2 linked regions of the Sus scrofa genome follow. The protein of the gene in region 1 purifies or fractionates together with the protein of each later gene. This does not show direct contact. Links are inferred from orthologs where the notes say so. Each region holds a gene or a part of one and is shown on either strand. Other genes may lie near its edges.

The links.
Region 2: the proteins of TOPBP1 (region 1) and CDC45 purify together in Homo sapiens (affinity purification with western blotting; 3 studies listed by BioGRID and IntAct, with this or other methods). This does not show direct contact. The link is inferred for Sus scrofa from reciprocal best matches to the Homo sapiens genes TOPBP1 and CDC45.

The regions. Positions count from the first base shown.
Region 1 is NC_010455.5:74,839,639-74,843,457, forward strand, and holds part of TOPBP1 (DNA topoisomerase 2-binding protein 1), read right to left. Parts: intron 3,348-3,819; coding exon 3,213-3,347; intron 1,975-3,212; exon of another isoform or gene 1,863-1,974; intron 1,538-1,862; exon of another isoform or gene 1,512-1,537; intron 1,435-1,511; coding exon 1,291-1,434; intron 448-1,290; coding exon 266-447; intron 1-265. UniProt on the Homo sapiens protein: Scaffold protein that acts as a key protein-protein adapter in DNA replication and DNA repair. Composed of multiple BRCT domains, which specifically recognize and bind phosphorylated proteins, bringing proteins together into functional combinations.
Region 2 is NC_010456.5:51,135,895-51,139,713, reverse strand, and holds part of CDC45 (cell division control protein 45 homolog), read right to left. Parts: intron 3,554-3,819; coding exon 3,416-3,553; exon of another isoform or gene 3,360-3,415; coding exon of another isoform or gene 3,216-3,359; intron 2,648-3,215; coding exon 2,501-2,647; intron 1-2,500. UniProt on the Homo sapiens protein: Required for initiation of chromosomal DNA replication. Core component of CDC45-MCM-GINS (CMG) helicase, the molecular machine that unwinds template DNA during replication, and around which the replisome is built.

The sequences.
Region 1 (3,819 bases):
GCTGAAAACAATCCTATTATCAAAGCTTTTCTTACCTTTCAGCTGATGCTAAGTACACAGCTCATTCTACCTATCAACTTGATGATGAGAGCTTATAGGTTATATTTTGTTTATATTAGAGAAGAGTAACAATTTTTTTTTTGTCCCCAAATAACAAATCCAAAGAGAGTGTCATAAAACCTCCCCTATGAAAGCCCACAATATGCCAAAATGATTGAATGCATCATTTTTTCAAATCTAGAAAATATCTAAATATTTTTCTTACTTCTCTTGTGATTTCTCCCAAAGTGTTTTTATCCAAGAAGGAAGCAAAATAGGTTTTTTTAGGTTTGCTGCAACTAAATATTTTTTGCTACCAACTTCTCCTGCAATAAGGTGAGTTACTGATACGTTAAGGTCTCTGTATACGCGTCCACCCATCATTTGTACATATTTATGAACTTCTTCCTGTAGCCCCAAAAGAAAATACTTTATTAATAGGGAGGAAAACTATATCTCTTCCACTTTTTATACAATATCCCATAAACATCTTTTGTTGTTAGTTTGAATGTACAAATGTTCACCACCACCATAAAATTAAATAATTGACAAAATTACTTGTGGGAATATAAAGTATACGTTTTAGAATAGTTATCTTTATACACATTATCTCCCTACATTTATCTTCCATAAATTTAACTATGTTGCTTCTACAATAAAAAATAATTTTTACGCCATGTACATACTCAAAAAATATAAATTATACACGTAATATATAAAAACATATACATAGCTCTCAGAAGCCTTTTTTAAAAAAATTAACCAACTATGATGGAAAAATATAAATGATTCAAAAACAAACTCACTGATTATACAGAGGAAAAAACTGAGCTTCCTCTTTAAATCAAAACAAAAAACTTCAACTAGCCAGTTTTCAACAAAAGATTCCACTGTATTCAATTTATTTATCAATTTTTTTTCTTTCGTGGCAGCCCCATGGCATATGGAGTTCCTGAGCCAGGGATCAGATCCAAGCTGCAGCTGTGGCAACGCCAGATCCGTTAACCCACTGTGCCAGGCCAGGGACCAAACCTGCGTCTTAGTGCTGCAGACACTAGATCATGTTGCACCACAGCAAGAACTCCTTAATTTATTAAAAAATTAAAAAAGATATACACTGTCATCTTGATTTTGCTATAAGTCATGAACACCAAGTGCAAGGTCTTTTGAAGTATCTCCTACACAGTGAAAAATTAAGTGTGGAAATATATATATTGATCATGATATTCCTCTCAACACCTCAACACCTACCCTTTTGTCTTTTTCCAGGCTTGTACAAGATACAGTTACATCAGACATAACCATGTTATAAACTGGATGCTCCGCTCTTGGGACACATCGCTGGTGGTGCATACAAAATATGACCACTTGAGGACCAACAATTCTGCAGCCAAGCTACAAAAACAGATAAAGTTTAGTAAGTAGGAAAAGACCTTCAGTCTTACATTAAGATTACATTTTGTAATATTTACCAATTCTTTATAGGAGTTGATGACCACTGCAGAAAAATCACCAAATTGTTACAAGGAAAAAAAAAAAAAAGACCATTATATGATTTCTCAAACATACACCACGTTAAAACACACACATACAAGCAAATCAAACAATGCAGGCTATCAAAAGAAATAAGCTCTAAAAGCCATACTCAAAGTTGCCATTAAATTTTTAATCTCTAAAACAAATGCAATCTTAATGACAGGGGATGTGAATTAACAGTCTCATGCCATTAGAATTAGTAAATATCTACATTTACTTTTCAAATGAAGCTTTCAGCCAATAAAGTAGTTTAAAAGTATGAGCTCAGATAAAGTCCCTCTAAATACCTATTATGTTACCCCAAAAAAGTATAATCCTAGGCAGTTTCTGTATTTGTTTTTTTAAAATACTTTGTCTTCAACTTAATGTCTTTTCAAGGAAGATCCACAAAGACTTCTCCTAAGATACTGCAGGTTGCTCAAAAAAAGAAAAAGAAAAAACCTTTTATTTTCATTGCTAATTGAGAAAGGTGACAGTCTTGCTCAATTCAGCACACCTGGGCCAGACTAAAAAGCCTACTGTTGCCAAAGTCACCAAAGCATGACTGATTTAAATATCCACAGAGCAAATGATTGTTGCTACCTTTTTGGTCAGTCATAAGAAAACTGAGTTTTTGATGCTGCTGATTCTACCTGACAAGCAGTGTTATTTCAAGACCAACAATGCTTTTGGCAAAGGTGGGCACAGACCTTCTGTACACTGTACAGACAGTACTGCATCTACCTACTCTTCTATGTTTTCTTCTTCTTTAAACAAGAATAAGTTCTTTGTAATCTGGATGGAATTATAGTCAGTTTACTCTTATTTCAATGCTTCTCTCTTGTCCAGACACCAAAAAAGTAATGAGTCAGTAGACTCTAGAATCAACAAAAAGAAATAAGATGGCTCATTGGTATATTAGTAATGCTTAACCCCAAAATGCTTCTGTTTAGCATATCATTTTTCAGACCCTATAAAGATATGAATACTAAGGAGTTCCTGTCTTGGCGCAGTGGTTAATGAATCCTACTAGGAACCATGAGGTTGAGGGTTCGATCCCTGCACTTGCTCAGTGGGTTAACTATCCAGCGTTTTCGTGAGCTGTGGTGTAGGTCGCAGATGCGGCTCGGATCCCACGTTGCTGTGGCTGTGGCGTAGGCCGGGGGCTACAGCTCCGATTTGACCCCTAGCCTGGGAATCTCCATATGCCGTGGGAGAGGCCTGAGAAATGGAAAAAAAAAAAAAAAAAAAAAAAAAAAAAAAAGATATGAGTACTAAAATTCAGGAGCACATAGGAAAGACAGTAAGTAACCAAGCTTTAGGTTGAGGTCTTTTCCTACTCGATTATTTTTTCCTGATAAATCTTACATTCAAACTGTGTTTACAGTGCAGTGGAATTTCATCAATAAAATGCTTCATTAACACAGGATTAACTTGTACTAAATGAAGTTAAATTCCCTGAAATATGAACTTACATATTAACCAAAGCTTACTGAAACACAATTAGCCTTAAAAAACACTACTTCCAAAACCAAAGAATTTCTCTGATTTCATAAATTGCAAAATATTTCATGGTCAGTAAAGAACTTATGTCTGCTGAAGCAAAAGCAAACCAAAAAACAGATTGCTGAAGGAACACACTAAAAGTTAAAGCAAACCTTTTTGAGATGGTCAAAGACAACACCACTAAAAGGGTCACAAATATAAAGTGATCTATCATTCTCCTTTATCTTCAATGCTTCCTCTTCTGTAATAATCTGAAGATATTCTTCTGATTGGAACTCTTTTATTGACTGAAACAAAAAATAAATAAAAATGTATCAGAAATTATTCACCTTTATTTATGTCCTATGAATTCCATCTTCAAAATCCATCTCAAATCCATCCTTTTTCCTGTTGCAAGCTATCTCTCATTAGATCCCTCCAAAGTGGTTCCTTCTCCCTCTCTTGCCCTAAATCTATTCTCCACAGAGCAGCTAGTTATCTTTTCAACAATACAAATCAGGTCAAATCACTCTGTTCAAAAATTCCAACAGCTTCCCACTACACTCAGAATAAAATCCACATTTCTTAAAATCACTTATAAGACTGGCCCCTGCCTGTCTCTGCCCTGCTCTCCACTTACCTTCTTCCTCTCATCCCTTTGGCTCACTCTTTCTCTAGCCACTCCTGCTTTCTTGCCAGGCCTGGAACAATTTAAGCATAACTTCATCTACATGCTCTGCTCTTGTTCGCACTGACCGAAATACTGTTCTCCCAGAACTT
Region 2 (3,819 bases), on another chromosome or scaffold:
ATAGCTCAGTGGTTAGCGAACATGACTAGTATCCATAAGGATTTGGGCTCGATCCCTGGACCTGCTCAGTGGGTTAAGGATCCAGTGTTGCTGTGAGTTGTGGTGTAGGTCACAGACACGGCTCAGATCCAGTGTCACTGTGGCTCTGGTGTAGGCCGGTGGCTACAGCTCCGATTGGACCCCTAGCCTGGGAACCTCCATATGCTGCGCATGAGGCCTTAGAAAAGACAAAAAAAAAAAAAGGGCAAGGAGGTGTTCTCGTTGTGGCGCAGCGGAAACGAATCCGACTAGGAACCATGAGGTTGTGGGTTCGATCCCTGGTCTCGCTCAGTGGGTTAAGGATCCAGTGTTGCTGTGGTATAGGTCTCAGACTTGGCTCGGATCTGGCGTTGCTGTGGCTGTGGTTTAGGCCGGGAGCTGCAGCTCCAATTCAATCCCTAGCCTGGGAACCTCCATGTGCTTCAGGTGTCCCCCCCCCGCAAAAAGGCAAGCCATGGTCCTGAGGGAACTTTTGGAGGGTGATGGAACTCTTCTGTTCTCTGTCGTGACATGACTTTACACATTGTCAAATCTCATCAGATTAGACCTAGAGAAATTTATTGTGTAGAAGTTAAATGTCAGTAAAGCTGATTAACAAAACCCCCACGGTCCAAGGATTCTTTGACCCTCCCCAGAGCGCACAGTAGGGTCCTGTCCCCTTCCCTTGTGGCTGTGGGACACTGTGGGACCCCAAGCCTGGGCAGGAGGGCTCACACAGCTCACTAGCAAAAAACCAAACAAGTAAAAAAATGGGCAGAAAACTAAAACAGACATTTCTCCAAAGAAGACAGACAGATGACCAACAAGCACATGAAAAAATGTTCAACATCACTAATTATTAGAGAAATGCAAATGCAAATCAAAACTACTTCACTCCAGGGAGAATGGCCATCATCAAAAAGTCTATAAATAACAAATGCTGGAGAGGGTGTGGAGAAGAGGGAACTCTCCTGCACTGTTGGTGGGAATGTAAATTGGTACAACCACTCTGGAAAACAGTACCGAAGTCCCTTAAAAAACTAAAAATAAAATTCCCGCGGTGGTGCAGTGTGTTAAGAATCCGACCGCTCAGGTTGCTGCAGAGGTGTGGTTCGATCCCTGGCCTGGCCAAAAAAACTAAAAATAAAGCTACCATATGATCCAGCAATATCGCTCCTGGGCATTTACCTAAGAAAACCATGATTTGAAAAGATACATGCATCCCTGTATTCACTGCAGCACTATTCACAATACCTAAGACATGGAAGCAATCTAAATGTCCATCAACAGAGATATGAATAAAGAATATGTCGTGTATTTATGCAATGGGATACTACTCAGCCACAGAAATAATGCAATTTACAGCAACATGGTGGACCTAGAGATCACCATACAGGTGAGATAAGCCAGACAGAGAAAGACAGAAATCATATACCACTTATATGTGGAATCTGCACATAACAAATGAACAGAGAAAATAAACACAAACTCATGGATACAGAGATCTGCTACTGGGGCGGGGGGTGGGGGTGGGGGGCAGGGACGAGGGTGAAGGGAACCGGGATCTACCATATGGTGGCGGCTGGTACTAGACTTGGGGTGGTGAGCACTTTGCAGTGTGTGCAGATGTTGGACTATAATGCTGTACCCCTGAAGCTTGTAGTAAAAAGAAAGAGCTCTTAGAAATCAAAGATCAGAAGACAAAGACCAGAACTTGGCTGGAAAATAGAACAAAGAGGTAAAGAGCCAGGCAAGAGGAAAGAAATCTGAGTGGGTCTGAGAAGTCTTGCTCAGAGGACCCGACACTCTAGAAAGAGCAGGCGAGCCGAGGAAGCAGGACGCCCCCCAGTGGACAGTGTCCAGACGTCCCAGACATGGCCCTGTGAGGCCAAGGATGAGGGGAAGACCCTGAACATCCCAGAGGCAAATCAGTCCGCACAGCAAGGACCCAGAGCCAGAGGCATCCACTTCTTCACAACACTGAGCACTAGAATAATCTCAGCCTTCCCGTTGCAGCAACGACCAGTAATCCTACATCTCGCAGAAGTGCACAGGCCCCAGGCCCACTGGGTGCAAACCACTGGTATCTATCCACAAAATACTTCCCCTGGGGTGATGGTCTAGAACTGCAGCTCCTCCACAGTGAGCACACACTGGAGGGACTGGGGAAGAGAGGGGCCGCTTGTGCTGCTTACTGTTTCTTCGTGCAGCTTTAGAAAGTGTTTGCTACCTAGGTGGTAAGCTGAGCAGTACCAAGTTTCATTTCATCAGCCGGGATTCTATGGCACAGACAGGGATACCGAAGCTCAGAGAAAGTCAGAAACCTGCCCAAGGCCGCACAGCCAGGGGAGAGGAGAGCCCTGAGTCAGCAGCCGTGCCTGCTGCCCCCCAGCTCTGCCAAGGCCTTTGGCTTCGGGCTGCTCTCTGACCTCAGGAGCAACCCCCGAGTTCCTCAAGATCATGGTGAGAGGCCTGAACCCACCTCCTCTAACCGTGTGCGCTTCTCAGAAGGCTCTGACCCCTCATCGCTTTCGTTTCCTGAATGTTCTTCATCTTCCTCTTCATCCCTAAAGAGGTCGTCATAGGCAGGAACTTCCAGGTCGTCATCTTGTTTAATAAGCAGTTTGATCTAAGATTCAAACAAAAAGCAATAAACCTCCTCTCTCCTTGACCAAAAACTATCCATAGTGTTTATCTCTTACAAAATCTTACTTCCTGACTGGCCTGTGTAGCAGAGCCCCACGTGAGAACTCAGACTCTTAGATGTTTTCTCATCTTCATTTCTGCTCAGTGAGGCACTGGGATCTGTGTGCCACATGGTGCACAGAGGTACAGGTATAGTCCCTTAAGTCTGGGAAAAAGGTCCCTCTCAGGCCACACACACAGCCACCAAAGTGAACGCCTTGCAACTTGGCCTCGGACAGAGGACACAGAGACTGTGGAGACTCAGAGAAGGGCTAGGTGGCTGCTCTGCTCAGGCTCCAGGAGCAAGTGAGTCAGAGCCAAGCCAGGCTCACCATGGCCTCTCACACCTGGTCCCTATACCGCCCTGGATAAGTAGGGCACGTCCCTGCCCCATTTAGGGGCATCTCTGAGGTCTCCTGATATTCACTAAGGTTGGGTTGGCCTGAACTGGGAGCAAAGACTCAGGGTAGGGTTCTGGTCCCTACACCTCCCAGGTCGAGCAAGTTCCATACATGCACTCTGAGCACTTCCAGGGTATATGCTGTGTTTCTCATCCAGGATGGACAAGACCGGGTTCTCATCTTCAGGCTGCTCCAGCTCCTACTGGAGAGGTGGCCATGCTCCTTGCCAAGAACACCAGATGCAGTGCTGTCCATGCACAAAAAGGGAACAGACAGATGGATAGAACTCAGGGCCCCAAAGGCCTGCTTACCTGGGTATCATTGTACACGTTCACAACATTGACTGGCCTGTGAGTGTCACACACGAAAAATATGGTATCTTCATCGGGTTGAAGTATATCCAATAGGTCCACGTTAGCGCCACAGTTTATGAGGATGAAGTAATGGAACTGGAAAAAGAAGAGGGGCACCATGAGTGAGCGAGCACCTGGAGGAGCCTGTTTGTCTGCAGCATGAGGCCTGAGCCCTACTGAACGGCACCCAGCCTCTGCCAGCTGGCGAGGCCCCGATGACGAGGGGTCCATTGTGGCCGAGGCTGGCCTGTGCCAAGTGTTTAACAGCTCTGTGCGCTATTTCATTTCCACGACACTGTAAGGGGAGTCCTACGGTGTCCCTGCTTCAGTGAGGAGCAGACAGAGGCTGAGCATACTTGAGA